4 linked regions of the Caenorhabditis elegans genome follow. The protein of the gene in region 2 interacts with the protein of the main gene of each other region in a pairwise test. Each region holds a gene or a part of one and is shown on either strand. Other genes may lie near its edges.

Region 1 (7,478 bases), on a different chromosome or scaffold from region 2:
CCGACTATGTTCTGCCATATAAACATCTTCGAATCAGTGGCTTTCACCAACAACGTGTTTTGTCTGTTGGGTATTGTCATCGCATTCTTCGTGCAAGTCATGCTCAACATGCTCCCCGACATGTTCACGGGTACCCATTGGTTTTGTTCCCCTCAATCTTAATTAATTTCTTCCTTAGTGTTTCATTGTAAACTTTTATTCCAAAAAATATCTGTAAGCTAAATGTCACCACATCTCATTTTCAACCATTCCTGTCACTTTTTTATCGACATTCTACGGTTTCTAGACCTTAATCTTTTCCAAATTGTGCCAAAACTTTGTTCTCTTCGGCGAAGAAGGGAAATTTTGTGGTATTTGTTTCGCATGTATTGTATTTGTTCGGATAATTTCAGTTATTAAATAAATTTTGTTTGAATTATAAAAAGCGTAACTGAATCATTTATTGTAGAAGTAACTGTGAAACTTATGCAGTTAACAACTTTTGACGTTTTTTTTTTTAACAATTGTCAATTCTTAGCAAACCCTGTTAATTTTAGGAATTGACAAAATGTCCATCTGCCAAAAATGTCTTATTGCCGCGCACCCTGGGAAAGATGCTAAAGTTTTTGATTCTCCCCGAACAATTCGGTCCTCATAAAACGTAAATTTTATATAATTTCTCAGAAGGCTTTTTTTCTTGAAAATAAGAACAACTGCAAAACTTGATAAATCTGTATCACAACATATTCGTCATATTTCATTGACAAACTCCCAGCGATCTTCGATATTCCTCCTTGAAGGTTCAATGTTGAGTTGTTCAGTGAACTGTCCTCGTTCTCTCAAGTGTGTTTTGAATTGAAACAACTATTTTTCCGTTGGCTTACGATGCGATTCTCGCATTTGATATTTTGAACCAATCATATCATCAAGTCATTTGATGACACGTGTGATGATATGCCTCGCATATTGTTTTACGAAATGGCCTCAGAGAACACACATTATAAAGAAAGAAAAGTGGAATAGAGCGGTTTTTTTTGGATACGTGATGAAATATGATTTGACTACAACAAAACGTTAGAGCACTGTACCGTGTACTTTTTGAGTTGATATCATGTTTTAGAGCATGCTTGTTTAGAATTGCAGGAGCAAAGTGCAATAAACGACCTATTTCAAAACAGCAAACCTATTCCAAAGATTTTTGGCTTTCAATGTAGTGCTATGTGTATTCAGATTTTTTTAGATCTACCAGGGGTGTGCGGCAAAAATGAAAATTTGCCGAGCTCTTTTTTCTAGTATATGCCAAACTCGGCAAATTCGGCAAATTTGCCGGAAAAGCTCGAAAAAATGTGATAATTTTTGATATTGTATGGGGCACCAAAAATGGTGAATTCTAAGCATACTTTTGATTTTTTCACAAGATCCGTGTGGTCTATCTGCGTACAAGTCTTGCTTACATGTTACTTAACTAGAAGTTTTGGAGCAAAATCAATGGTTCCGGTCAAATTATGTTAGTCGAATTTGTGATGTGTGTGGCAAATTTCAAAGTTTACCGATCTCGGCAGATTTGGCAAACCCACTTTTTGGAAATTTCTCTTGCTGGGCAATTTCGGCAAATTTGTCGCAGATCTCTGTTATGTATAATGGAAAATAGTTACTCTAATTTGTAAGTGGTAAAAAGCATTGTTTTCATCATTTCAATTCTATAAAAATGACCACTACTAAAATCCAAATCTTTTCCCCATGCAAAAGTCCAGAGGAATAGACATAAATATTTTTTCTGTAAAAATCCTTAAAGTATACGACTACTGACGCGTATATTGACCATTAAATAAAGTTGACAAGAAAAGTAACAACCTGTTTACTTTGCAGCAAAGAACTACGGTAGCTGAAAGACTTTCTATTGGGTGCCTTTATAAATTTTAATTTTTTGCAATGTGTTTTACTGGTGTTGAAAAAATGTTGATATAAATATTTATTATCAGTATTTATTATCGGCATTATCAATAAATAAGATATCATAACTGGAACAAATCAGTGAGTAAAAAAAACTGAAATAATATATTGTCAGATCAAGCAGGCAATTCTTAAAGTACACGTGAAACCCATGTATGTCCGGAGAAACCGAATGGATGTTTGGAATGTCCGAAGAAGGGTTCATGACGACCGAGTAAATGAGATCAAAAAATATTAGAGAATTCGAAGGGTGGGGGTATCTAAGAAATAAAAAAGCCTTTTTGAAGGTTTTTAGATTTTCACTGCCATTTGTTGATCAACCGGAGAAAATGCACAAGGATAAAAGCCAGAAGGTGGAGTACCAGGTGCAGAATCCAAAAGCGATGGGCTCACGCTTTGAAAGCTTCCGAGTAAAGCCAAGATGGCATCATTGTTAAGAGCAATAAGCCCATCTAATTGAGCTGGGTTTGTGGATTGAGCAATTATACTGAAAATACTTAATTGTTAAAATCAGATTCGGAACAATTTATTTGTTTACTTACTTTGCTTGTTGTGGGTATTGAGACAGCTGTGCAATGTTTTGCATCTGTGGGATAATTGGCATGGTGAGCTGCATTTGGCTTGAGCTAACAGCAAGAGCTGGAAGCCGAGAGGAAGATGGAGAACCGGAAGACTCGCGTTCGAGCACTGAAAATTAGAAATTGAGCTCATGAATCCACTAGATATCCATGTAACTTACGCCTTTCCTCAAGAAGCTCGTTTTTCCTTGTGAGATCTTCAATGGCTTTTCCTTGACTACTGAGCTTAGTTTGCATGACATGGATGAACTCAACTGCTCGTTTCAGGATCAGGGCTCGCGACGATTTCTCCCCATCAAGCAGTGGAATGGCATCCTTAAGAATGGTGAAGTGATCTTTGATATGGTCACGTCTTCTGCGTTCAAGTTCGTTGTGATGTGCACGACGGTCATCATCCATGGATGGAGAAGCCGACTTCGGGCTTGAAGAATCGTCCTGGAAAAAGAACAATTAGTAAAATAAGGGTACAACAGAAGTTTAACTTACATCGGAAGAATCCGAGTGATGGCGTTTGCGGAATTGTTTTTCCATTTTCATGGATGAAGAAAGCAAGTACATGTCTTCAACGATTGCGGACATGGTAGAGATGTTGACTGTAAATTTAATATATATAGCAATGAAATATCAATTTTAAGAGAAGGTTATATAAGAATACTGTAAGTGAAAATTATCACAAACAAAAACAAATACACAATTAAACAAAAAATATGTAAAAGAGCCATGCGACCATCTTCGAGGGTGTCGTTAACTGTGGTATGATCTGCAATGCGAGAAGGAAGATATAGGAAAAGGGGCGTTCTGTCTGACAGAAAGGGAGGAGTCGACGCGCCGCCTCCAACACGCGGTCAGCGTGTGTTCTTTGCACCTCAGCCACTGTGGGTGCTAGGGTGCCCGGAGAAGTGGCGCTCTTTGATATAAGCTCTGTAGCTCCGCCCATGTTTTGGAGCAGAAGGTTATAGCCTTCCCCCATTTTGTCAACCGATCACTGAAATCATGTGAATCTTGCGGGGATCTCGTAAGGGTAGCATGCGTTTGTGGGAAGGATCAAGATGAAGCATTCCTTGAGAGGGTACAAGGAACAAATGTTTTGGAAGAAATTCTGAGGATGTCAGCAAAGAAGCAATTTGATTGGGAGAAGCACAAATATGGCAACACGGGGATGTCAAAAAGTGCAAACACTCAAAGAATGCGTAGCTCAATTTTAATTTCGATGGTGACGGTCGGGTGCAACGCATCCTCTCATTCACATGCGCCTTCACGTGCCGTGTTCATTTCTTGACGACAAAAAATACCCGAAACTTTGTTTCCTTGGCTGCCTTGACTTAGTGTGCGTGCATCGTGATGTGTGCAACGCACAAAGACCTCTGATAACATTGAGTGAGCTCAAAATGTAGGTCAAATTACTTCCGAATGATGTATGGTGGTGTCAACAGTACCGTACACCTCTAGGAGTGAACAGACTCAGGCAAAAAACTTTGCAAACAAACAACTTGGTGTACTATGACCCCAAACTTGTTAGTTACTTTTGTTTTTTTTTCTTTCAGCAGTGTGTGGCCTAGGGGACTGTAGCTAAACGTTGTAAACAAATTAAACATGTGTTGTTGTTTTACAGAAAAAAATTTGAGTCAAAAGGCAAACTTCCTCTAAAATAAAAATGTATTAACGGCCAACATATATTCGAATTCCTTGTAGTCGTTGACTTTCAACCAAAAATAAATTCGTTCCTACAAAAAATCGCAGATTATCATACTAAGAAAGAAGAACATCAAAATATATGTTTCACTACAATTATAACAACAGATCATTTCAAATTTTCGCCCTACATAACGCTACATAACTCTGTAAGACTTGGAGTAATGTCAGATTCAATTCTTTAATAACTAAATTTTTAAAACTTTTTTGCAGTTTTAAAATCTCTTTTTTCACTGTCAATAGTCATGGTGGTGGTATGATAATTTTTTCCACATTTTCTAGCACATAGGTCTACTGAAAATGTATTTCATTTCTCTGGAATGATATTTTTAGACATCGAACGTTTGGGTTTTTCAGTTTAATTGCTCTATCACGTAGGTCATGCGACGCTCACTTAATGAACCCTGAATTGATTTTGATTTTAGACGACTGCGATAGAAATGTGATCGTACTTTGGGCTAACGTAGGGGGTGAATATGATTTCGCGCCAAGAACGATCAGATTTCACAATTCGGATGTTGTACAGTATCTACAGAATTTAGTGATATGGACTTTGATTGGAAATTTCAATAATATTATAGTTCAAATGAACTAGGGTCATTTGCACAAAGCGAGGGTGGGTGTCTTGCTCGTGCAAAAAATTAAAAGAAAAAAGCACGCTGACGATAAGCTTTACAAAATCCTTTGCTAATCTGTTGAAAATCACAACTATATATCAATAATCCGAAAAACAGCGTGGTGGCGGCTTGTTCGATCAAGTGTGTTATCTAAACGTTAACCACTAATCTCTCTGGATCAACTCAGATTTCTTCGAGGGAGTAGCTCTGGAAAGATAAAACCGCCGTGCTGTACATTACCAGGAATTTGGGAAAAAGATTTCAAATAGAGCTGGGTTTTCTTTTAGAAATCCTTGTTTTTCTTTGTTTTTTTTTCTTGAATCGAGAGAATGAATCAAATCTAAAATGAATGTAATCGGGTAAACACGGAATAAAAAATACAAAAGTTTAATATTTGAATATACCTTGGATTAACCACATTTAGGTTTCGTGAAACCGGCATTTAACCGCTACAATCAAGCAAAACCATTGCTAATTATGCATTGTACCACAAGTTAATCAAATACACATATGGATACTCTTAGTTTTGCCACCATTTGCAATTTCAGTACTGCTACTCTAGATACAGATATTTTATGGCAAAGCTCGTGAATGATTATAAATATTTTATTTTATAGTGCGGATGAATCAATCTTGACTGGATTTTTGAATTGTGTCTAAACCATGTGATTCTAATTGTTTCAATGCAATCTGAAAACTTATTTATTAAAGGCTATGAATCAAAGATTTGTTTTTTCGCCAAACTTTAGAGCGCAAAGAAATTGCATTTTTATACCAATTAAGTTAATATATTAATCTATTTGAAAGTGGTTTTCTAAGCTTTTCTTAATTTTTAAGCCAACTTATCCCCTATTTGGCAGTCATCTGATTGCTTGGAATTTACACTAATCCACACCCTCAACAGATTAAATGAGGGTGGATGTAAAATTCATTCTCTTTCAATTTCGATCCCAACGTGATCAAAGAGCATATATTGGTCCAGTTGTTTCGTTGATCCCCGAATACACCTTGACTTGCTACGTCGATTCTACTACTTTCCTGCTTCTGATCAGTGCACATTAGTGAAAATAGAGTATCTTTTAAGAAACGTACAGTTGACATTTCTCCGCATGATCAACACTTCACGTGCGGTACGCGTGTTCATCGAAAAATCACAAAACACTCAGCAATGAACCCAATTGAAAGAGGAGAGTGAATTGAAAGGAAGAGATGAAACTCGTATAACTAATTCGAGTGAACAGAGAACAATTCGCGATCGGTCCTCCTCGTTGCGACGTGAGTAAGTGTGACTACATTGTGTATCAACGCGGTAGTGGCAAATAGAAAGAGCGCGCCTATATCGTAGTCGCTCAAGAGACTGACGGGGTCAAAATGATTTGCACCTGTGGGGAAGCATGACTGATTATTAATATTATGAGAAATTATCTTTTAAAATGTCTATGTCAAAAAGAAAGTGCATGAAATTCAATCTTAGCTTTAAAAATTGTGTATAATATGCTAACACAATGTGGAAAAACACGGTTACAACTTTATTTGAATGAAAAAATTTCATAAATTAAACATTCACTCTCCACGATTTGCTATCAGTAGCCTTCGTAATTAGTTGAGGTCCCTAAAAAATATGATTAAAACAAATATGTTGATGGAATTGTCTAGCCGGTTTTGCAGTCAATAATCAACTGTATTCAGAATTATGTTTTTCCCTACTTGTTTCAACTGATTCATCATAGTGCAATTGGATATTGGGGGCCGTGCTAATAAAAATAATTCAACGGGTATATTTCAATGTTGTTGTAGCCTGGATAGTAAAAATTTTATAGACAAAATTTGATAATCTCTAAAAATTAGAAAAAAAAAACATTTTTGCAGTTTTACTGTAATTTACTGTAAATTGTAGTTTTCATTTGGGAAACGTCAATAAAGATAATTTAGTACTTAGATATATTGGTATTTTGTGATATTCACATGTTTTCAAATTGAGGTTAAACTAAATTTAGGTCGCTGTGTTTGTTGACCTTTTTAGAAATTGTATATTGCTCTATAAAACATTTTGCAATGTTTTTTGAAAGGCAATTTGTTACGAATGACTTATTAAAAATCATCGAAACTTAATGTCAAAACAAATTAAACATTTGTAATAACTATGATGTACTCTTTGTTTATAAAACAGTTTTGTGTGTGTCAAACTTAAAAAGTTTGAAATTTTTAATGTAAAAATGTACTTTGATTTTCAAATTATTACAAATGATATCTTTAAAGACTGTATTTCTTCAAATCTTTTCCCTTGAACAATTCCTACTTTTCATCATTCTCCAATCACTTTCATTTTTACTCTTTCCTTATCTATCCCCGCCACGTGACTGCAACGCTACGAAATTCGTAGGTTCTTCGATTCCACATTTTTTTGCTGTTAGTTGTATTTGATATATGAACTCTGGTTTTTTCGCACTTGTTTAACTGCTTCTCCATTTTTGCAACCAGGATTAAATTAATTTTCATTCTCCAAATCGAATTTTCTTAGAATATACGTATATATGATTTGTGAGCAACAATTTCCCCACAAAATTTCTGCTCCCTACGACAGAGTTCACCGGGACAAGTGGGGCACACAGCATTGAAAAACGTGTTGTCGGCATGATTCAGCTGGCTTCACCACAAC
Region 2 (7,854 bases):
TGAGATTATTTCAAAAAATAAAAATAAAAAAAATATTCGTACAATTAGAATAAAGAAAATTTTTTAAAAAATTAGAATTAGAAACATTTTTTAAAGCAATGCTTTAAGCTAAATTATTTTAATAAGTAGAATTTTTGAAATCGACCAAAAAATATTTTTCAACTTTTTTTTGAAATATTCACATTTCAAAAATTGTAGAATACTTCAAAAAAAAATCTAAAGTTAAAAAATTTGGAAATTTACTAAAAAATTTAGAAAGTGTTTAATTTTAGTATAATTTTAAGCTGTAATTAAAACAATTACTTTTAGCCATTATTTTTTTAAATGTAAATTTTCAGTCTTAAAATATTATGATTTTTTTTGAAATACGACTAAAATTTTCCGATTTATTAGGCTTCTGAATTTACGAGTTTCCCACCTTTTACGAGTTTCCCACCAGTTTCCTACTTACTAAGTAAGTAAGTAAGTAAGTATATTAGTTAAGTTTCAAAAATACACGTATTTTCATTTTTGTTTAAACAAATTTCTGGAATGAAAAAAAATAATTTTTGAATTCAAAGATGTTCTATCAAAAAAATATTGGTTCAAAATGTTTGAATTAATTCAATTTTTAAAACAAAAAAAATCGAAAAAAAGGCGATTTCATAAAAATCAAAAGTAAATAGACTCTGCTTCTTCTCGTCATATCAAAAACTGCCAAAAAATCAATAAACTGGCTCCTACCCATGACCAAACTACACAAAGCAAACAAGGGTCCTTTAAGGGGGTACCTACAGGTATCATATAACATAGATATGCATATGATCTTGGAAAAATGCGGAGCCAACTCTCCTGAAAATATGCTTGAAACAAGCCAACACCTTTTTGATGAGAAGCCTCTCCGCCCGCCCTTTGTGCTCCACACTGTGTTCCCTTATCAAACCGTGCCTTTGTGTTTACAATTTGTGAGAAACTTTTGAAACTTTTTTTGCCGCCTTACTTGGGCAAATAGAGGAAATAATTCGATTTGATTTCACAATTTTCCTGTTATCAAACTGTGGTCTGGGGATGTGAGTCAATTATTGAACGGTGCAAAAATCACAAAACGGTCACAAATTGCTCGTTATTTTTTTCGTGATTTGCTAATTTCAAAAGTGGCACAGAAAGTTCTATTATCAAATTATTTTCAGTTTTTCTCGATAAAAAAACAACTTGTGTTCCGTATAGGCCTAGTTGTCAGCCTGCAAGCCGGCCTTCGTCTGACGCAACTTTCAGATAGGCGCCAATACAAGATCGTATATGTTTTAAAAGTTTCATGAAAAATATTCATTACTGCAAAAGGTTCAAAATACATTGCCTACCAACCTACCTACCAACCTGAAATTCCAAAGCAGGCACCGGCAGGAAAGTAGGCTGGTTGAAAAGCTGGTAACTGGTAGAAAAATAACAGATTTTCGGAAATATTTCTTACATTTCTTATTTTTATTAATTCTTAAAATATAAATATTTTTTGAAAATTTAAAAATAAGTCAAAAATAAATATTTTGAGCATCCGTCTATCTTTTTTATACCTAATTTTAAAACCGTGACAATAATGTCAATTTGTCCGGAAAAAATTGACATTTTCCAAAATTTTGATAGGAAAAAACCCGCATTTTGTGTGAAAAATTCCATAATCAACAATTTTCGATAAGGATACATAGAGAAGAAGGGAAATTTTATAACACCAAAAAACAAATTTGCAGAACCTGAGCATTTGGCGTGCTAGCCTAAGATTGCCTACTGCCACCACACCCTGAAGGCGCGTAGGTAGGCAGGCACGCAGGCATGATGTCGTGGCGAGCACCGAACAATAAAAAACCAAAGTAAATCCAATTAAAGTTACTCAAACGTAATTTATTTTATACTACCTGACTTCCTCACGTCATCTCAAAAATCACAAGCTCTATGTGATTCTCAAAACCGGCATTCCATTTTTCTTTTACGAAGACGATACTAAAAACATTTTTTATTGATAAAGCTGATAAGAAACTTATGAAATCACTAGTACCGGCTCGAGTCGTTAACAAGAACATTTTCTCGGGTGACTCAGGATTCAGGTTGGGCACTGAAACATTGATAAGCAATAGAATTTGATATGACGTCTCGAGGGCACGATCGTGACATGACTTCTTTCTTTATTTGTGATTTGTGAAGACAACGAGAACTTCTAGGAAGCAGCCGACACTTTACAGTTCGCTTTTTATAAGAGATTTTTTGAAGAGATACAAAAAAACAGGTCATGTTAACCGAAACAAAATTTCTAATTTTTTAAAGATTTATTTTAAATTTTTCAAAAATTGAAAAAAATCTGATTGTGAGATTTCACTGGTAAATGAATTTTTCGGCCATTTTTTTCAAATTTTCAACCATTGTCATTAAAGGAAACTTGACAGGCCGAAAGGAATTGGGTGAAACTCTAAAACTGGCCTGAACTTAACATTAATTTTTTTGCTGTAAAATGCATGCAAATTTGACAGATCACGTCTCAAATAAAAAATCAAAAAAAGTGAAACTGCTCAATTTAGCCGGAAAGCTTATTTTTGGAATAGCAAAATTTGAAAAAAAATTACAAAAAATTCTACAAAATATATATTTGAATTTTAACATTTAGTTTTTTTTTAATATATGGGATTGCTTCCTGACGTTTTATGCAAAAAAGGCCGTGAAATTTCTAAATCCAAGCTTAATTCCAGATATGGTGGCTGAAAATTCGGAAAATTCTCTGTAAAAACCGTGACTTTATAATTCAATTTCTAGTCGAGTCATAAATTGATAAGAGTACAATTTTATTAATTTATCACTTTTGCAGAATCAAAAAAAAGTTTTTGGAAATATAAAACACAAAAACATCAAAATATTATTATCATCATGTTTGAACTGAAAACCCGCACAGCTTAAAATTTCGATGGGGTTTTTACTCTTTTTGAGGTGCAACTGGGAAGGAACTAGAGTTTTACAGGGAAAAGACAATAAATCACAGATTGGAAATTGTTTTTTTTTTTGAAAAATTAAAAAGAAAAATCAATCGGTTTCAGCGCAGCTAATTGCAGCGCTAAGCTCACGGATATTCTGAAAATTTTGAAAGTTCTGGAACAACATTTGCATTCCGATAGGGGTCATCAGGAGAGGATTCGGGAAAAGAGTTGGAGCAGCTCCGTACATAAGCGGAGCCGTGAAAAATGGTGAGGCCGCGGTGGACATGAGAGAGGGTACGGTAAGAAATGAAAGCGGTAGGCTTGATGGAGCAAGTTGTGGAAGAGCAATTGGTGAATGCGGAAGGAGAAGCGGCATTGGAGATGTTGTCTGAAAAAAATTTAATTTAGAAATTTTAGAAATTCTGGAAAAAACCTTTTAGAGCAGTTTTTAGGACGAGACTAGTGCATGCCTACATGCCTACATACCTACATGCCTACATGCCTACATGCCTACATGCCTACATGCCTACATGCCTACATGCCTACATGCCTACAGGTTTACATACATACATGCCTACATGCCTACATGCCTACATGCCCACATGCCTTTTCAGGTTCAAGCTGTACCTGAAAAAATTTTCAGAAAATCTGAACCTCACCTCAAATGGAGAACCAGCCGGACTAGTGCTTGCATTTGCCGAAGTCGCTGCAGGAATCATAAATCCCCCGGCACTGAAGTCGAATTTCATCTGAACCTGCGGAGCCATGTTCAACTTCTCTGATAGCATTCCAGATAGCGAGCAATCCGAGGATGAAGCCGACTCGTCCGAATTGCAGCCCGAAGAAGATGAGAGTGACGATGATGAAGCCGTGGTGGAGCCCTCTTTTTTGGGACTTTTCGGTGCGATAGCTTCAACCGTGTTGCCCTTTATGCTCATTTTTCGCTTCTTAATATGCCGGTCCAGGGCACGACGGGAATCAATCAAGTTACACTGTTGGCATTCGCAGCTGGAATATTGGCACTCCTTTTTGTGATTTTTCTTCCAGACGAGCACATTGTGATTCTTGCATTTTTGGCAGAAATAGCACATGTTCATGTTCTCCATGACAGCTTTTTCATCTGCCTCCCCACCTGTGAAGCCTGGGAACACGTTGGCCTCGCTGATATCATTGGTACGCTGAAACACGGGGATAGTTAGGAAAATTAGGAAAAAAATCACAAGGTACCTGGAACTTCTTGTCTTGCTCTCGTCGGAGACGAATCTGAGTTGACATGATCTCCCGTCGCTTACGGACCAAGTCACACTGCTCACACTCGCAACTTCTATATTCGCAGGTGTGCCCGCGCGTCTCTACGAAAACTCCATGCTGCTTGCACATTCCACAGTGCCGTTTCACATCTGAAAATTTAACAAAAAATAAAACTATGTTAGGCGTAGGCCATACTAATTTCTGAAAAAAAATCAGCAGCCGACAGTTAACCAACCATACATTTTTCTACTGACCCTTTCTCGTGAAACCAATTAACTGTCGGCTGCTAAGAAGCTATAGCTCACCTTTCGGGATCCTTTTCCCTTGGCTGAAAAATCTCTGTGCTCCAACATCCGGGGAGAGGCTGTTGTTTGGTGAAAGCCCTTCTGGAGCACTGAGCGATGAGGCATTTGAAGAAGATGACAGGGAAGATGAGGACATGATCAGGTAAGTCTGAAATTTTCCATTTTTCAAGAGTTGGAAAAGTTGAAGCACAAAATGAAATTGTGAGGGCTACAAGATAAGGGATGCTTGAGCTTGATGACCTGATTGGCTGAAATTTTATAGACACTGCGTCAATGGAATATTTACAGTACTTTCAGTCACTTGTCTGAAAAAAAATCTTGTGACATGTTTTACTAGTCGCCTGATAAGGCCCTGGGGGCTATATAGACGATGCTTTCAGAGAAATTTTCAGGGAAAGCATAAGCAAAACAGGAAGTTGTAGAGGCTTGGGCGCGTGACCGAAGTTTTTCTAGTTTTCTTCGGCCACCAAAAATTTCCCTTATCTACAGTAACCTAGCTCCCCTTGGAGCAAAAAAGCTATCGAAATGAATTCACAAATGAAATGGAATCGAAATAAATAAATAAAATTTCATCCGCCTTTCCCATCTTCAATCCAGGAATGAAAGATTTTCTGTATCTGCCGGCTCCGCCTCTTTCTTGAATATCCCTGATTGCTGTCTAACCATGTCTAACGTCTCCGCCATCCCTCCCCACTCATTCGAGAAAATTCGCCGTAAACATTCTATTTTGGCTCTGCGGAGCTATGACGGAATTCTCATGTCGATGGGGGAAATTACGTAGATTCGCAGTTTGCGTAGATAAGGAGGGGCAATCCGGTCGGGGTTTTACGCGGATCAGTATGGAGCAACTGAGCAGTTGGACTAAAAGCCGATTTATTTCATTTTGTTCACAAAAAGGTGGTGCTCATCTCGTTTTGAAAACACTCGAATTTTTTAAAACTTGAAAAACTTGCTGGCCGACGCCTATGACATATGCCTATGACCTCCACCTATGGCCAACGCCTATGGCCTACGCCTACTGCCTACGCCTATGACCCACGCCTACTGCCTACGCCTATGACCTACACTTATGGCTAATGGCCTACGCCTATGGTCTACGCCTACGAAACCTTGGAAAATTCAAAGTTGAGCAAGCTGAAAATCATTGCAAAATGTTTCATAACAACCACAAAAAAACACTAAAACTAAAAAGATTTTCAGAAGTTTCAACAAATCGGATGACAAATTGTGTCGAAAATCAATCGCTCAGAGTGGTTTCAAATTTTGTGTGGAAAATATAAGAAAATCTGTAGCGGATTTTGACGATTGCTAATCTTTTTCTCGCATTGCTTAGCCCTTGTGTTTGAATTATTAGGCGATTTAAATCCATTTCTGTGATTGCCTTTATCATGCTTTTTTTGTTTTGAATGATTTTTTTTCTTTTTCTAAATAATGGAATAATTTTTTAAAATGTTTTTTCTAAACAATGAAATTCGATCTAAATTTGAAAAGGAGCCTGGCAAGCAAGCCCGAAAGCCTCGTTCACCGACTCCAATGCACCAAATTTTACACGCAAGGTTAAAAAAAAATTCTGTACCGTCCTCGATCACTGTCGGCTGCACAAAAAAAACATTTTTTCCAGTAAAAAAAATGTTTAAAAAAACTATACTAAAACATGTAGGAACTAGTTGTTTTATACTAGTTTATGCTCATTTGGGAAATGCTCATTTCTGATCGACAAGTTTTGTTTTTTTGCCACCGTCTAGACGCTCTACCGTAATCTTTGAAGAATTCTTGCTCCCACCGGGGAAATCTATATTTTGTCACGTGGAATAGGGGTAATAGGAAAACATAGAATGCAACAAGATTTCTTGGAGGTAGGTAGAAAGCCTGAAAAAAATCAACCCATAAGAAAAATTCTTGGAAAAAATTAATGAAGTTACATTTTTTTATTTTCCAAAAAAAACCTGCACTCCTAAAAATAACCATACCTAGTGACATTGGTTTTGACACCAATAACGTCAAAATTCAATCTGCTTATCATTTTTGATAGCTCCAAGCCACGTTGTTCGAAAGTACCTGGATAAGCACCGGCTTGACTCGGTCAAGTCAAATTTTTGCGTCACTGGATAAGATGGTTCAAAATGCGATGCTGGCCAATGCTATTCATAAAAATTTCAAAAGTTTTGAGAGATCACTGGTTTTCCTGAGTTTTCATGTAGAAGATGCAGTCGGGCCAGCTAAGAAATTGTTAAAAACCACTCCTATTGTGTAAAATGACAAAATACCAAAATAAAAATTTTCAAAACAATTTTAAAAAAATTTATGGACAGTCAAAAAAAGCAATTATTGAGTTTTGCCCCATATATTTGACTCATAAGTAGACTAAAAAAGCTCGAAGAAATTTATTTTTACTTTTAAAATTTGATTTTCGAAAAAGTGGCAAAAATTGTGATATTGCCAGTTTTCAAAAAAACAACTCTATATTTAATTTTTTTTAACATTTAAAAACATACATATTGTTTTTAGAAATTTTTTCTAACTTTAGACTTATATGTATTATATGTACACGTTTCTGATCGCTTGTCCAAAATTGTTCTAGACACCGCGAGACACTACTGGTCCCCCGTGATTTGGGTACGTTTCACAAAACATGATTGTCTGGAGGGTTACTGACATGATTCCTGTTTTGACAAACATTTTTGAAAAAAATCAATTTTTGGTGGTTTTTATTCAAATTTGAAAGTAAAAAAACACTAAAGTTATGAGAAATTTAGTTTTTATAAAAATGAAACATTTTAAGTTCAAATAATTTTTTTTCGGAAAAAAAGTTGAAACCCCCTAATTTAAAAAATTTTATTCAAAAAAATTAAAACTTTTAATTTGAATTTTTGCAAGATTTTTTAAAATAAAATTTTGAGTTTCCTTAAAAAATCAAACTTGTCGTTCAATTTCAAAATTTGTGCAATTTTTTCCGCCAATTTTTTTTTCTGAAATATTAAATGCTGATTTTCTCGAAAAAATAGCCACGGGAATTTAATTTCTGAATTTTTTGTAAAAAGTTTAATTCCTTACTAAAGTTGTTTTAAAAATTTAAATTTAATTTTCCTGTCGAAATTTTGAAAAATTAGAATTTGAATGGTCTCGCAGCGAACTCTCGAAAAATTTAATAGTGAGGCAAAATTGAACATGGGCATACTGATTAATAACAAAAATCAAAAGCCCAAATTTCACCTGCCAAAATTATATTTATTTTTTGGGTTTCCACAGTTTTAAGAAAAAAAATGTGTGTAGTATGATGGTATTGAGAATTTTATATATCTGTCAAAACAATATATATATCAACAAAAAAAGAACCACAGAACTAGAAATGAATCGAAATA
Region 3 (9,373 bases), on a different chromosome or scaffold from region 2:
GGCGTATTTTGCAATCACAAATAATGTGAAAGAGAGAAAAGACATTTCTGATTATTTTGTTAGTTGAATATTTGTTTTCTATACTTGTATATTTCAAGATACGCAATTTAGCTAGTTTAGAAAGTTATTGGCTCAGCTGAGCGTGATGAGTACCTAGATCTCCCAATACTTTTGTTTTATCAAAGTTCTCATGCACATAATTAAATCATGAACTTTCATCGAGACATAGACGTTTTGAAAATTCAGGTATTTCCTGAAGTTCAACCTAATGAGATTCGTTATTGATCGGCGTCAGAAGAAACAAAACTCGAAATCAAAATCTCACAAAGAGGACAATAAAGAAAATTTGATGAATTCTCAGTGGGGTGGTGATGGAGGAGAGAGGGATATTGTGGAAATGGAAAAGAAGCATGATATGAAACAGGTAATCTGAAAAGAAAAAGGCCAAGAAGCATATGGGCTGGCCTAAAACTATCTGGGGTTGTCTAGAAATACTGAAAGCTGCTTGCAAATTTTGAAGATAATTGGGATTTTTCGACGATGGCCTAGAATTAATAAGGGTGCCTAGAAATATCACAGAACATCCTAGAGCTTCCAGGTGGCCCAGAAACCTTTAAAAATTTTAGGACTGGTCCGCCGACGCAGTATTTTTTGATGCTTCGAACCGAGATGGATGGTACATTACACTTGGAACAGCTCAGAGACCTAACAATATTATAAACTTATTCTTTATTCTCAGAATTCCAGAAATTGGAACTTTTGTGAACGAGGAGCTTCATACCGACACAAATGTTAAGGTGAGCCAAGAAAAAGAAATGATGTGATCAGAAACCGTTTTTGTTTTTTCAGAGCATCCAATGTCCGGAAAAAGAATGGAAAACAGAAAGTGGCTTCATCGTTTCTTGCATTGAACCAATGAAAAAGTGGAGAATACAGTTCAATGGAAAATTAGCTTCAGCACCGGGGAAAATCAATTTTATTGTGAGTTTTTTGGAGTTTCCTATGTTTTACAAAGTATTGTCAATTTTCAGAAAAACGGATCCGAGGAGATGAAGGATGGCATAAAGATTTTTGACGCAAATTTCGACCTGACTTGGACGAATTTCGGTTTGTGAATTTAACGGTTCTAGTGAAATTCGTTTCAAAAAGTCAATCTTCATGTTGTCCACGTGGAGAACACGGATAAATATTCTTAAGAGCTGGTTAGCACTTCCTAGGGAATGTAATCTACCGCAGAGCGAACGTTCTGGAAAGGGGGCAAGCAATTTAGGGTTATGTCCTGAAATTCAATGTCAATTGTTTGTGCACACCTCCTACAGAGAAAATATTTTTTCTTCCGCGATAGCCAAAATTCAAAGAATCTTTTCCGCGGGTGAGCTTCGCGGTAAGTGTCCTGCTTTTTTGGTGACTACAAGAAATCTTCGATGGCGCCACCCACGCTTTTGTGAAATCTCAAGCCTCGCCCGCTTATTGGCCTCGCACGTCTTTTTACTTTATTTTCTATTTCCAGGAAATCAATTCGATTTCGACAAGATGTGCTCCCCCACTGCAATTGCTCATTCTTTAGCAATTGAGCCATGGAGCCGTGGACTCTTCGATAAAATGCGAGCATCCCATCAGTCACACTATGAACAATTTGGAACGATTTCTGGAGATTTTCGAATTGGAAATCACACTGCTTCTGGAATTCGAATGACGAGCATGAGAGATCACACGATTGCTGGATACCGCAGATGGTCAGACATTCGAAGGTAAAGTGGAACTTGTTTGCATCGTAGATTGACTAAATTTCCAGATATATCATGATGATTTACCATTTGGAAGATGGTACATGTGTTCATACTTCGGTTATTTCAATGCCAGAAACTGTTTTTAGTCACCTTGAATTTGGATATATTGTTACACCGTGGGTTGATGCATCTACGCTCCAAGAAAACACATAAAATGGCTCAACAGGGCGCATTTGAATTTTTCTGCGAGAGACACCACACATTCACAGCGTTTTGAAACCGTGGAATTCAATTCACGGAATATGTCAAAAAGTGACAATTACTCAGTTTTTCCACTTATAATTTTCGAAGTCACCCCAAAAAATTGTTTTTTTATCACATTTTTTAATACTTTAATTTTGTTTTAACTATTCGTATTAACACATTGTAGGGGTATGCAACATTGCTTTAGATTTTCTCAATAGCTCCTATTTTTCAATATTTTGGCAATTTGCGAAAGCTTACGAAAAATATAAACATTTTTGGAGTGTTTTATTATGATTTTTCGTCGTTTTGGATCATTATAAGTGTCCTTTAAGTCGTTTCGAGACCGAGTACCGTATTCTCGCAAAAGATTCTAGTAATTTCCTTAATGGGCAGAACCTAAATTTTTTTTTTCAGAACTGGTGAGACGAAGCCAGTGGATCGTGTACACTTCTCCCTTCCAAACCACGGAGAGGATCGTCATTTCCCTGATGATTTCCACTACTCGTTCGAAGTTGACGGCAAGATTCATCACGCAGATGTTCATATCAAGGAAGCCGTCTCATTCAAAATGGGATTGGATCAAGCATGTCAGGTCACCGAAGGAATGAGCGAATTCGTTGTCGACGGAAAGCCGGGATGGGGATTCGCGGAAGTCGAGTATCGTATTCAGCCGTATTAAAAAATTATCAAATTCAGATTTTCTACCTTTTCCACTTACTTTATAAAACCGTTTCATATGCTACTAACAAATGTGGGGTCAACGTGCAGAACAGAGCAACAGTAAAATGTACAAAAAATAATAAAACACTGGGAGGGGATAACAAGTTCCGAAGAACTAAAAACATGAGACAACAAAACATTTAGAACGAGAAAACAAAAACAAAAGAACAGAGATTGTAGCAGCTACGTAGCAGAAGTTGAAGCCCTTTTGTCAACCTCATCCAGTAGATAGTTCACCGTTTCTTGGACACTTTTGTCAATTGGAGTCTGTAAAACCAAATATTTCAAGTTTTCAAATTGTTCAGTTCTCTTACCCGAACAATATACTTTGTGCACGATTTGAAGCGAAGATATAGTCCCTTGCGAGGAGACTGCACCTCCAGAGGCTTCTCCTTTCTCGGGCGGCCTCTTTTGCGAACAAGGCTTGCCGTCGTGTCCTTCTTCGGCTGAACTTGCTCTATTTCGGGCTGCTTCTTCTTCATCACCGGAATCACTGCAGTCCTGGGAAGCGAGTAGGGAGTTTTGAGAGTTGGTGGACGAAGAATCCTCGGAGTTGTGATATTTGACCAGCGGAGAACGGTATTCTTGGGTGGTGGTTGATCTTGCAGATTTTGGGAAGACGTGGATGCTGTTGTGAAGTTTGTGAGTGGATGATGTCTTTTCTCATCTTCATCATTCTTCTTTTTCTCCACTGCAGTTTCTACTGGTTGCGTAGTGGGTGGTCTTCCAACCGGTCTTGCTGCTGAGGAAGAAGGACCATCAGAACCTTCCCTATTACGAGCCATCGATGCCTGATTAACTGAGTAGAACTGAGTGAGTACATGTGGAGCTCGCATGGTCTGCCCACAAAACTTCTCGGATCCGAAAGAAGACTTCAGGGAGGTCAGTTCGTTTCTCTGAAAAAAGTTAGATTAAATCTTCTTTGTTCTTTGAAACTTACCGAAACACCAACACGATCAGCACACTTTGGAATGATAGACATATTGGCAATCTCAATACATCTACGAACCGTCGCACTGCAAAATCCGGTCATCTGAGCCGACACCTCGTCCGGTTTCTGCCAAACAGTTCCAGCAGCTCGATCGCCGAGTCGTTTCGCGTATTCTCGATTCCAAATTGCTGTTCTAGCTACCATGACGCGTGTCTGATCGCAAAGATGAGCACGGATGGCAATAACGGTAGAATCGTCGACGAATCGGAAGGAGCTCATATCCACAGGCTTTTGAATTTCGGCGCAACGATAACATCTTCCATTGACTCCTTTGACGAAGGCGGGGGCCTGAATTTTGAAAATTGTTCGTTGTAGGTCTCGCCACAAATAATTTGATTTTGTAAAGTACTAGCCAGTGGCAAAATTTTAGGAAGAACTACGGTCGCACCACGAACAATTATCTCCAATCATCCCGGCGCAAAAATGTAAGCGCCTTTTAGAACTACAGTAACCCTTCTCCTCTTCTTTTCAATGTCGCTGAACTTTCTTATTTTTCGCCAAGATTTTTTTAATTTATTGAGAGAAACTGGAGTTGGGTTACTGTAGTTCTTCAAAAAATTTACCATTTTGTGCAACCATTAGATGAAAATATTTTTTGCTTATGATGAAAACAGGGAATGAAATAATATAATTATTGGATGAAAAACACTAGTAATTGCTGAAAAGTTTTTTTGTTAATGATAATGCAGGAAAATTCGAAATATTGAAGTTCCACTTTAGGGTTTTCCAAAAATATATAATTTACCGCCATATTCGAGTAGAACGTCATAGGAGTTTTATGATTATATGCAGGAATTTGGACACTTTTTGGAGCCACGGTACTGTTTTTGGCTTTTGGACGGAAGTTATTCGCTTGTCTGATCACGGCGTTTTTCGTCATCTCCAGAGCTACTTTTTTACGTTCCATTATCGATTTGGAGAGTGGAAGGATTGGAATTGCGCTCGCCGAAATTTTGGTTCGTAGAAGCTGTGATGGATTGATTTCCTCCAATCTGGAAAATTTGCTTTTTAGCAGGACTTATTAAACAAATTGTCATTATTTTGGAAGTCAAGGTTTTCAAAAACCCGAAATTCAACTTACTCAATTCGTTTTCCGACTCTTTCCGTATGTTCACTTCCAAGCGTTGCGTCTTCCTCGAGAATTTTCCCTTCACTTGGTTCGCTTACAGACTCCCGAGTACTTCCACTTTGTCGCTCGAGAATTGGCGGCGGTGTGACAGCTCGCTGGTACCGAGATCGCAGAAATTCCTCCTCATCAGAATCATAACTGTTTCGGAAGATATCTGAAGAGAAAATGAGCTTTAAAAAATCAAATTTTCATGGAAAATACCTCTTTTGGTTCGATTCGACTCAAATCTGGATATCAGAGATCGCTGTGGTGGAAGATCTGGTGGGCGTGTAGGGTCGGCCATAATTTTAATTCTGAAGACGGGTGATTGTTTTGTTTAATAAAAAACTTTTTAAAAACTAACGCTTCCTCCTCTTCGTCGAATCCAACAACGTCCACATCCTCATCAGAGTCTGTAAGCACTATTGGCTTAGATACAACAGGATTCGGATTTTTTGGAGAATTTTGTGCCTTTTCGAGTGTTACTTGTTGGTTATTAACAACTAACGGGGACTTCGACTTGTCTGTATTCTGAGAACGAATGACGTAGACTTCTGAAAACAATATTTTTATTTAACAGAGGACCATTTGCAAACAAACTTCTTCGTGGCAAATTTGGATCCGTAGCTTTTTTAACTGGCTTTGGTGGAGGTGGGAGACAGGAATCTCCGAATGAAGCCCATCCAATATGAGCTTTAGGTTCATAATTACTAGAAGATGCCGGTGGTGAATCAGTTTCGTCGTCGTCGTCGACTATCAGAAGATCATCGACGCTCAACGTTTTCTGGGATGTGGAAGGTTCATCATCTTTAGCAGTTTGCGGTTTTGGATCAACTTTTGGAAACTTGACCGCTGCTCGTTCTTCTTCATTCATAAAAGCAAATGACATTGGGGATATTGGTGGAAAAGCTGCGGGTGCAGGCTCTGTCGTCATGGAATTGTCTAGATTGGCAACAATGGGTTCAGAAGACATCCTGGAAACAAAAAATATGGAGATAAAATTTTTAAATTTAAATTTAAACTGTTTTTATTTACCAGAAAACTAGAAAATCCCAATGAGAAAGAAGGGAAATTAATAGAAAAATAAAGTTTTAAAAATACCTAAATTTTCTACAGTACCCGAGGTCTCGCGAAGATTTTGGTCCGCAGTACGCAAACACTCTTATGCTTGTTTACCGTAACCACTGAAATATTTTTTCGTTGTTTTTCTTTATTTAAAAAAAGTTATCTATTTTTCGAAATTTATTGAAAATTTCACATTTCAAAACCGTCAATAATTCTTTTAAAATTCATTTTTCGCAATATGGATTTTCTTCAAATGTTAAACCAGAGTTTTCTTGTAATTCCTTGAACAAATCACATTTTTAAATCACATAACCATTTTCGTTTCTGGAAATCTTCACTTTGAAGTTGAATTCTTGTTAGATTATATTTGTTTAACTCTGAAAAATAGTTAAAATGTGTGTTTTTATATGTTTTGTTTCAGATTTCCCCTGCTTTGTTTTCCTTTCCTAGACTAAGTTTTTAAATTTCGATCAATCCTTTTTCTTCATTTTACCCTCTCAAAACCATTTATTTACTCACTTGAGAGACGCAGAGAAACCATCGATGGCCTAGATGTCTCGTCTCGCCTCCTTCTCGGCCACGCGCGCCTATCTATCGATGTTTTTCTGCCTGTTCGCTCCGTTTTCTTTTTCGAATCTTGACCGCTTCGCATGCCTGTTCCGTTGCGGTTTCTGAAGCGTTTCGGTTGCGTCGCGGTTCCCGGCTCCGCCCTACTACCCGTTCGAGTCTCCCACGGTCTGTAGCACGTCTATCACCTATGTGAATGAGTGTGTACGATCATCTTCTTGCCAATCGGGTTATTGGGTTCAATGGATCGTAGATTGATATGAAACTCGAATTCGGGAAGGAATCGCCACGCAACGCAGCTAGAAATGCTTGAGAAACTTGCGAGAATTTGAGAAGAAAATAAATTTCAGAATTATTATTAAAAATTTCCAATGAGCGACCGACGGCGGCACGGAACAGAGGATTATCAAATCGCCGGTCTCAAGCATTCAATGACAAGTAAATCGATATTCATAGATTCAGAATTTCCAATAATTTTTCCAGGTGTCGCCTCAAGCTCCCACGGTGGTGCTGGAGACCTCCAACAACAATTTTCCAGGGAAGATCCACCCGTAAAAACTACGCAATACACACTTGTAAGCTGGAAAACGTTTAAAATTCAAAATTTTCAAATTTTCAGCTTCAACTAATCAATATGGTTCGAGAAAATCCGATTCTCTACGATGAGGAGATGCAAGCCGCCACGCCGGATGCTCAGTTGAAGGTTCAGAAACGAGAAGCATGGGATCGGATACGTGCTGATATAGTTTGGCAGGACATCACTCTTGTTCAGGAAGTCTGGTCGGATCTTCTCGATCAATATGCTAGAAAATCGATTGATATGTCCGATGGACTAATTGAGGCAATGCGATGGACAGATTCATTGATTTTTAAGAAGAAATGTAAGAGTTTCTTGCAAAGAAATACACCAAAATCATTTATATTTTCAGCAGACTCTCGACCTCCTTCACAGCTCACCGCAATGTCCTCCGGACTGGATAAGGATTTCTATAATGACGTTCCGCTGGCAGAAGATGTATTAGAACCCGGACAAAGTCTCGGAAATTCTGAATCCATGAAGTTCGATTATGTGGTTATTCAGCCTCATGTTAGGCCACATCAACAAATTCCCACATCTTCATATTCCCGTCGAAAATCACCACAATCAAGAGAAACAGAGGCAATTGTTCGAACTTATCCATTATCGCCGAAGCGGATAGTGGTAAGTGCAAAAACGATGAAGTAATTACTACTCAGACCCTAATTTTTCCGATTTTTGCTGACTATGAGATAACCGGTCTCGTCACAACAATTTTTGTTAAATACGACAAGATGCGCGCCTTTAAGGAATACTGTAATTCCAAACTTTTGTTGCTACGGAATTTTCATCGATTTTCATAGCTTTTCAACAAAAATTTGAAATTACAGTACTCTTTAAAGACGCACACTTTATTGTATTTAACAAAAATTAGTCATGTCGAGACCTGGTACCGTATGTTTGGCGCAAAAATCGCAAATTTCACGTCTGGGTAATAGCAAAGGCAAGCATTCAAAAACCCCTTACCGGCCTCGCTTGCGGTGATGCACGGGTGGCCTACTGGCTAACACTCTCGTCTGCAAAGCAACAGTCCACAAGTTCGACCCCGCTTCATGGTGCATTACACTTTGTAACTTGCATTGTGTGCGCGACTAATGAAGCAATACCAATATCTGCAGTATCTGCTCATTCGCCGTGTTGTAGTTGATGAGCTCGTAGTCCGATAACAATTTTTTGATTTTTTTTCATTCCAGCAACAGCATCGTATGCCACAGAAGAATAATCCAGACCAACAACATCAAATGAATGAAGTCAAAAAGGAAGTTAATCCGTTTGGACGACAAGGTGTATTGGTGGAGGTGGAACCATCACCCTCCTATGCTCAATCGAATACGAAAATTTACAAAATGGTCTCCGCGCATAGAAGTGCAACGCCGCAACCTGCAGTTACAGTGGCTTCATCTAGAAGATTGGTACATATGGTAGGAAAAAATAATTTATTTAAATAAGAATTAAATTTTCAGCCTCACCGAACAAACTCCCTGGTTTATGATTCGATGCCAGAACTTATAGATTCGTGAGTTTTTTTTTTACTTCTTAAACTTCACTTAATAAAACATTTCAGTTCAAATATGCCATCGGAACCACCAAAAAAGAAAATACACTTGGAAGTGGGTCATCGAAATAGTGAAATGGTCGGTGTATCAACCTCATCAAATGCCCCGTGTCTACCCAAAGAAATTCTAACCGATGGAGTCCCAATTGCCGACGATGAGATTATTTTAGAAGCTGATGGAGAGTGTAAAATAGGTTCTGGAATGCTTCTGGAATCTCAACAATCAAGTTCACAAAATCATGAAATGGATATGCCATCAACTTCAATGGATCATTATCATCATCAAGATATTGGTAATTTTTCGCTGGAAAAATATGAATATTGAATGAATTTTCAGATGATGGGGGTGTTGGAGATGATATTGAGCAGCAAGTGGTGGTTGGAGGACCTTCTGATGAAATGGCGATACAATATGATGAAGATCTCGCATTTCAACAACATATCAATAGTGTCTTGAACAGGTTATCTGATGATGAGGTAATTTTTGGTTTTTAACAAAATTTACGCGGAAGAGTTTTAAAAATTCGATTTTTCATTAATAAATTGGAGTTTTATACAAAAATTCGAATTTGGATATAAAAAATTTTTTATAGGAAGAAATGTCATTTGCTTACAAAATTTAAATTTTGAGAAAAAACATTGAAAATTGTGGACAAAAATCGAATTTCTCAGAAAAAAGTGAAATTTTCCAAAAAGAAAAAAATACAAGCAAACTTGAAATAATCCTGGATTCAAGTCTTGAGTTACACAGGAAAAATTGTTTTAAAAAATGAGCTAAAACAAAAAAAATCAAATTATGTTCAATATTTGTAAT
Region 4 (7,394 bases), on a different chromosome or scaffold from region 2:
GCAAGGAATTGGCCCATGATCGGTTGGAAGCGGGAATTCTTCTTCATCGCACCAATCTCGCCAATCTCATTTACATTTTTCCAGGGAAGAGCTGCATTGGTGAAATCGACGAGCATGTAGAACCTAGAAAAACACATTTTCTCAAATAAAAACTATTATTCTTATTTTCAATTCTAAGTGATAACCCAATCTGGCCTTCTGGCATCTTTACAGAATATATCACATAAATGACTAGTTCTTAAATTGATTAAACTAGCCAGCTTTCCAAATCGTCCTTCAGTCCATGTTCCGCCGTATTATGTGATGCAAGCGGTGCATATCGAGGGCTTCCACGAAATGGCACAGTTTTTCTTGGCTCGAGCATCAAATTTTCGCGATCTACATACTTTCGGCAACATCCGAATCTAAGAACAAAAATGTTGCGAAGCTCGCCTTGGCTTGCTCTTCCGAGATAGAAGTTGCCAGGGTTCACATCTCTGTCCAAGAACCCACTCCAATGCAAATCTTCCAATGCTTCCAAGCATTGAAACGATGCCCCAATCGCAGAGCCCAAATGTCAAATGACCATCAGGCCCAGTCTTTATAGCATCTTGCAGGGATTTCCCAAGAAGCTTCATGACAATATAGTTAAAGTTGTCATGGCGTCCCTTGTCTGAAAGATGGGGTTACGGTTACCTACAAAAGTGTACTACATACCAATGAGAGTAGGCATGTGGCTGGGCGACTTCTCAGATACCTTTGTCATCACACAAAGCTCAATTCTCAGCGACTAAAAATAACATTTTCTGCTTAATGGTTCGACAGTATTAACTCACATATATCTCCTTGGTATTCAACTGAGCCTTCAAAACATGCTCCTCTCCAGCATCATCTCGCACAGCATACACTGCTCCGAATTCACCATCTTCAAGTTTCTTGAAAACCTTGTAACGACGAACTCTATAGTCAATACTTAGCTGAATAACGGGAGCCTCCGTCATCTCGTGACGAGAATAGATTTGAAAATAAATTATTTATGGATTTTCGGAAAATATTGATCTTGTCGTTGACGAACTTTTTTAAACACAACGTTATCACATCTTTGAAGTCCACGTTCAAAAAAAGTTTTTCTTGTTTTTTTCTGCAATAAAATTAACTTCATAAACTAGAAAAGGAGATTTTCAAAAATCCGGACTGTTGATTCAAAATTATTTCAAATTGTTTTTATTCTGATATATATATATATATATATAATATAAATTAACACAATTCTAATATCCCCTTTACATTCTCAACCAAAATTTCCTATAAAAAGGGGAAACTCACGCCCATAACATGGCCAAATAATTGTTTGTCCATCTACGGGTCTCGCAGCGAAAATCAAAGTTTATTCGGTGTTTTTTATTTATCTTTTTTTTTTGGGAAATTATGAAACTAATTTTTGTTAAAATGATTGCAATTTCCAAAAAAATCAAAATTTCAAATTAAAAAGCTCGAAAAAATAGTTTAAAACTGAACTCCCACTACAAACTGCCCAGCGGAATTTGGAGTCTCGTTTGGCCACGCCCACTCGGTTCCTTGAACTTTAAGTTAATTCAACTTTCTACAGAACATTTTTAGATTTTTTTTCAATTTTGTATTCAAAAATTACACTCAAAAACAAGAGAATTCTATAAAATTGTGAAAAATGAAAAAAAAAAATTCAAACAAACAATTTTTGTCAACTTTTTCAGAAAATTACATAGTTGTCAACTAGCAAATTATAGAGACATTCTAATTATTTTTTCCGAGCTCTAAATACAAAAAGTTACGCAATTTAAAGTTAGAACTAAAGATTTGTTTTTGAACATTTTCAAAAAAACACATCCCCTTTACATTCTCAACCAAAATTTTCTATAAAAAGGGGAAAGCCACGCCCATAAAATGGCAAAATAATTTGTTGTCCATCTACGGGTCTCGCAGCGAAAATCAAAGTTTTTTCGGTTTTATTTATTTATCTTTTTTTGGGAAATTTAGAAACTAATTTTTAAAATGATTGCAATTTCCGAAAAAATTAAATTTTCAAATGATTTAGTAGGGAAGATTATTAATTTTTCAAAAAACCTCAAAAATGACATCCTGTCCCAGCTTCACTGAATATCGGATGTTTCCGGATGATGTCGACAATCTGCTGACCGGCTTCATTTAAGAAAACATCGAAAAGCTTTAATTTTAGAACTTCCCCGTATGGAAAAGTTTATCGCCACTTTTTCAATTTTCCCTATGTGTTTTTTTTCCAGAATGGGACATCCCACAAAACTTTGACGTAAGTTTAAATTTTTTGAATTTTCTGAAGAGCGCACCATTGAATATTCTCTAATACAATACTCAGGTGTAGGTCAATAGGTTTGGTATGTGGCAAGAATGAACAAATTAATGTTGAAATGTGAAAACAAAATTTCAATTTATTAGAATTTGGCTTATCATAAGTATAATACATTTTCAATATATTGGCATTAGATAAACATTCAAAAAGTTTGGTGACATAATGAAACAATGACAAGTTGATATTGTGAATGTGGCATAATTTGAGATTACGGGGATGTGAAAAATATAATGAAAGAAAACCAGGAAAGTTTTGACAGCCTTAGAATAGAGTATAATAAGTTTTTTTTCAGAAATTGTAAATTTGCAGGAGATCGATAGACTAGTTAATTATATCGAGGGTTTCTTCATTTTCTTCCTCGTCACTAGTTTCTGGTGTTAAGATTTGAAGTGATGGAAGAATGAATCGGAGGGGAGCAGAAAATATTGATGGAACGGTGTTGTAGTTTGACAAGACATTGAACTGAGTAGTTGGGATCATTGGAATACATGGAAATGTGAGCAATGGAGAAGTAGATGTTGGGGATTCTTGAACTTCTTGAAACGTCAATCTTGGGAAGAGATCCTTCACTTCCATTCGTGTTTTTGGCTTTTCATTCTCTTTGTTCTCACAAGTAGCAGTTGATTTTCCAGCTAAAAGAGGAAGTATTTGGGGAATTGTTTCTGGATACAGAAGATCGGAATTGTGTTTAATGTAATCAATGATGATTTCTAGAATTGTGATCCGTTCAAGTTTTAATCTGAAAATAATTTTTTGAATTTTTATTAGCCATAATGAAACTCTTACCGTTGCTCGTAACTTCCCATTTGTTTGTTCAAAATGAAGAATTTCAATTCAGCATAACAGTCATCTTGTTTCTTTCTTCGAATCTTTTCACGTTCAGTCTTCACTTTTCTTCTTTCGGATTCAGTATCAAACTTCCGTCTTGTAGATTCGGAGAGGTCATTCGATGAGAAATTAGATTCCAGATTAACTCCAGTCACAAGTTTCACAATTCGGAAGAGAACTACTTCTTGTCTAAAAAATGAATTAGTTTAATAACTATTTTAAGCTAACAGAGTATTTAAACTTACGATATATGTTCTTCTTCTGATTTTTGAACAATCGTCTTGCATTCGTTAATCAACTCGTTTGTAATATTTCTTCTTTTCCGTTCAGAAGCTGATTTTGGAGTTTGATTGTATGGGACGGAACGATAATCGCTCATTGAAGACTGAATAACTTTTGGCATCTGAAATTTAATAATTTTCATTAATTTAAAATCAATAAGAAATGTAGAATTTATAAAAATTCAAGATGAGCCGTTAAAAAGGAATAATTGTGACAAAACAGATAAATGGGACCAAGAAAGCAGCACAAATTGATTTAGTTTAGTGAGATAACTCGTACTGTTTTTCTAGAAGTATACAGTTCACTGAATGCTTTAAAAGTAATTGATCAAAATCAGTACACTTTCCTGATGTTACAATTATCAAAAAGTATACTAAACCAGCAGACCAGTGATCCACTAAGAAAGTAAATGAACAATGAATAAATGGTTACCTTTTATAGTTCCATTATTGTTCAGAGGGTGGAGCTTTGTATCAAGCGTTTGGAGCCATGGGAATTATTCTGAAATCTCTATTTTTACAGTCCCCATCACGGGTTCCCATGGTTCATCAGTGAGGTTCTCATGAGAACGAGTCAGGACATCTCCAGTTTTGCCACGACTGGATATTGATTGGGTACAGCCTGGGAAATTTCGGCGGAGACTGTGAATTGACATTAACCATTTTTATCACTCATTTAATCAGCTTGCCTAATCATTATTTGTCTTTAATTCGCAAAGTTTCCAATATTCAAGATCTGATTCTAATAAAAATTACCAGATTGATGTATATGATAATGCATAGAACATACAACTACCAAATTTTACGGATTCATTCAGTTTATCACTCAAATATGGCAGTTTTTCATTTTCTGAAAATAATAAGCCAGTTTAATTTTAACATATAACCTTACTGATTTTGAGAACTCCGGTTTGCTGGAAATGCTCACACAGCAACAGAAAAAATTCACACCGGATACATGTAGGTGCCAAGTTATAAGAAAAGTGTCACACGCTGAGATGGAAACCTCGTAAATTAAAAATAAATTGAGATTTTTTTAAACTTGGATATTGTTTTTTAAAACATTTCTAGAACAGCTTGATATAAATATTTTAAACTATCATGTAAAGGAAAAATACTATAACCTAATTCATGTATTTGATTATTTGAGTTAATTAATATGCATTTTTATTTTAAATATTCTAAATTCTTCTTTTGTATTATATATTTACATTTTTAAATTCCATCGAGCTCCGATTTTACCAAATATTCATTTCAGGATTATTTTTTCCCACCAATCAATAACTTCGTTCAGGTTGTGACCCTTCGCATTGCTTGGGTTCTCAGGCTGCCACGGCAAGAACTGGAGATGTGGTACTCGATGCACCATGAGAACCACGCGTAATAAAGGTATGGATATCAGATTCCCATGATATTCCAAACGATGAGAATCCCCGCCTATTGAAGAAAAAACTCGAACATATAATGGAAGGTAGTCATTATGTTTTTGCATACTTGAACTGTAAGGTTGGTTCTTTTCAACGTTTTCATAAGTCTTTAATTTGAACTGCCTTTCATATTTTGTAGTCTCCCTATTACGGTTTTTGTCTAATAATCTTTTGTTAACTATTATTATTATATTTCAGATCCTTGACTCATAATGTCTTCCTCTCCAACTTCGTCATCATCTGGGTCCCCTTCTTCACATGGACATCGATCTGAAACAGAAAAACAAAGAAGAGATGATACTAATGATCTGTTGAATGAATTCAAGAAAATCGTTCAAAAATCGGAATCTGAAAAACTTTCGTAAGTTTTCTACTATTTTATTTAAAAAAAAAAAACGTACTCTCAACTAATGTCTATTCAGAAAAGAAGAGGTTCTATTTCGTATTGTGAAATTGTTATCTGGTATTCAACTTCATCACGAATCGTTTTCAACATCGCCTGGACCAATTAGAAGTATTAAAAAGATTAAAAGCGATCGGGAACAAGTTCGCCGAAATAAGAGAGTTGCCGCGTACAGAGAGCTCAGAAAATTTATTGCATTGAATAATTTGAGTAGCTCAGAAGAAATGTAGGTTTTAGATTTTATTGGCCATAAATTAAAAAACACGTATTTTTCAGAGACAAAATGGAGAATTTGAAGGTTCTAGAAATCATCTTTGAAGTGATTCGTGGAAAGTCGATCACATGTACAGTACCTTGCCTACCATTTCCAATACTTCCTTTTCTCCCAGTATTCCCAGTTTATTCGCCATTAGTTTTCAATTCATACAATCAATTTTCACTTTATCCTCCTCACATGCCTACAGTTCAGATTCCTATTGTCCCAAGTTCCAGCTTCGAAATTGACGCTCTGGAAATAGAAGAAAATGAGAAAGATATCGATATTGTTGGCTGAAGAGATTCAGCTGAAAATCGTATTGGTCTCCAATTTTTTTCAACAGTTTTCAACATTATTTAGACATCTTTTGCATCCCGATTCATTGAAAATTAATAAATTTAAAAAAGTAACATCAAGATAATAAATTCAAGTTTAACACACAGCAATATTGAGATTTTCAGCACAGTGTGCATGATAATTTGAACAGATGCGTAGCAATTGGAGAAAAATTATAGAACTGAATTGCGTTCTTACCAGGACTGTGCGGCAACCGAGATTTAAAGAAATTTCGGCAACCGGCAATTGCCAAAGTTGCCGAACGCTGAAAACTTCGGCAGCCAGCAACTTCCGGTTGCCGGAACTTCGGAAACTTTTCGGCAACCAGGTTTCAAAGTTTTTTTTGTCGAAATTAAATTTTTGAGCGTTTTGGAAAAATGTATGGTCGTTTTTTTCGTTTACAGTGAAATTCTAGCTTTTTCAGGCTCTCTGCATGTTTTTTTTTGAGTTACAAAATGTTTGACGTTGATATGGACAGTTGCCAAAGTGCCGAAAAAAGTTCGGCAACCGGCAACTTGGTTTACGAACCCTGAAAAATAAAGAAACTGTGAAAGAAAATTCAAAAAATGTCAGCACAACTATTAAAAATAAACACTTGGAACACGTGTTCAATTTCTTTGAATTGAAAATATAAAAACCATTTAATAAGAAAAATTAGTTTTTCAAGAGAGCTCGACCAACAACAATGGGACGCAAAAAGCGGCTGAAGGTCGAGCGAAAGGCAGTTGCAGAGGTGAGTGAAACATTGTATTTATAATTTTACAGGACTAAATTTCTCATAAAAACTATTATTAAAAGTGTATCTCTTCCTTATCTGATTTTTCGCAGAACCAATCACAAATCTTGACTATGGTGACTATTTCTGAAACGGAAATGGAGAAGGTAATTATTTGATTTTTTTTACATTTGATTCTGAAATCTTGTTCAGGAAAAGACGTATACAGCACTGCAAAAACTGAAATCAGTTTCTAATGATTTGTTCGAAGAATGTCAAAGGGTTTTCGCAAATACTAGCTTTTGCACGGTAAGCGGTAAGCTGCAAAACGTTTTTCAACTTTCAAATGTTACAGGCGGAACTGGAGAATATTGTTGGTTGCTTTGACCGTTATGAGAAGGAAATATCTACAATTCCGGACGAATATCGAACGGTTCGTTTGTTTTATGTTTTTCTTGCACGTTTTTTTTCTCTAGAGTGACTTGGTTTTTGCATTAGAATATTTATACATTTCATTTTTACAAAGTATGCATTGGCTGCCGTGAAGGCACCTGGAATGGGTTGCATGAGCTAATCAGTATTTATATTTGTAAAAAAATTAATTGTTAAATATTCAGCATCCCTGTGTAATCAAATTCCAAAATTGCATTAGAGCATTGTGCAACGTTGTCGCAAAAAAGTTGAACAACACAACTCGCGATGTTGAAACTCAGACCAATTTTCAGTCACCAAGGATTACATGGAGACAAAGGTATGACTTCATGATAACTAGTTATTTTCCATATTTTTTAATTTACAGGTACT

The links.
Region 1: the proteins of dmd-8 (region 2) and mxl-3 interact in a two-hybrid assay, tested with the Caenorhabditis elegans proteins (one large-scale study listed by BioGRID).
Region 3: the proteins of dmd-8 (region 2) and xnd-1 interact in a two-hybrid assay, tested with the Caenorhabditis elegans proteins (one large-scale study listed by BioGRID).
Region 4: the proteins of dmd-8 (region 2) and hlh-25 interact in a two-hybrid assay, tested with the Caenorhabditis elegans proteins (one large-scale study listed by BioGRID).

Annotation. Positions count from the first base shown.
Region 1 is NC_003284.9:13,347,702-13,355,179, forward strand, and holds mxl-3 (Protein mxl-3), read right to left. Parts: upstream 3,104-7,478; 5' UTR 3,090-3,103; coding exon 2,997-3,089; intron 2,946-2,996; coding exon 2,672-2,945; intron 2,620-2,671; coding exon 2,475-2,619; intron 2,420-2,474; coding exon 2,224-2,419; 3' UTR 1,938-2,223; downstream 1-1,937. Other genes in the region: ptr-24 (SSD domain-containing protein), read left to right, coding at 1-162. UniProt on the Caenorhabditis elegans protein: Transcription factor which regulates the expression of genes involved in lipid metabolism in response to nutrient availability. Binds to the E-box motif 5'-CACGTG-3'.
Region 2 is NC_003283.11:331,811-339,664, forward strand, and holds dmd-8 (DM domain-containing protein), read right to left. Parts: upstream 4,641-7,854; 5' UTR 4,629-4,640; coding exon 4,493-4,628; intron 4,337-4,492; coding exon 4,164-4,336; intron 4,115-4,163; coding exon 3,596-4,114; intron 3,325-3,595; coding exon 3,043-3,324; 3' UTR 2,791-3,042; downstream 1-2,790.
Region 3 is NC_003281.10:5,600,856-5,610,228, reverse strand, and holds xnd-1 (X chromosome NonDisjunction factor), read right to left. Parts: upstream 5,770-9,373; 5' UTR 5,769-5,769; coding exon 5,396-5,768; intron 5,350-5,395; coding exon 5,160-5,349; intron 5,110-5,159; coding exon 5,018-5,109; intron 4,971-5,017; coding exon 4,769-4,970; intron 4,680-4,768; coding exon 4,433-4,679; intron 3,976-4,432; coding exon 3,637-3,975; intron 3,593-3,636; coding exon 3,011-3,592; intron 2,964-3,010; coding exon 2,880-2,963; 3' UTR 2,673-2,879; downstream 1-2,672. Other genes in the region: C05D2.8 (DUF7064 domain-containing protein), read left to right, coding at 247-424, 627-797, 850-981, 1,032-1,107, 1,511-1,751, 1,796-1,906, 2,391-2,655; madf-11 (MADF domain-containing protein), read left to right, coding at 6,799-6,865, 6,911-7,002, 7,047-7,308, 7,357-7,628, 8,198-8,425, 8,468-8,520, 8,569-8,852, 8,897-9,036.
Region 4 is NC_003280.10:5,531,421-5,538,814, reverse strand, and holds hlh-25 (Helix-loop-helix protein 25), read right to left. Parts: upstream 3,577-7,394; 5' UTR 3,576-3,576; coding exon 3,418-3,575; intron 3,362-3,417; coding exon 3,131-3,361; intron 3,084-3,130; coding exon 2,666-3,083; 3' UTR 2,410-2,665; downstream 1-2,409. Other genes in the region: C17C3.11 (Protein kinase domain-containing protein), read right to left, coding at 405-652, 697-769, 816-980; hlh-26 (Helix-loop-helix protein 26), read left to right, coding at 5,093-5,241, 5,303-5,509, 5,560-5,836; C17C3.9 (Coiled-coil domain-containing protein), read left to right, coding at 6,561-6,608, 6,704-6,757, 6,804-6,899, 6,946-7,023, 7,208-7,341, 7,390-7,394. UniProt on the Caenorhabditis elegans protein: Probable transcription factor. Modulates lifespan and also recovery from the developmentally arrested larval state known as dauer, perhaps acting upstream of phosphatase PTEN/daf-18.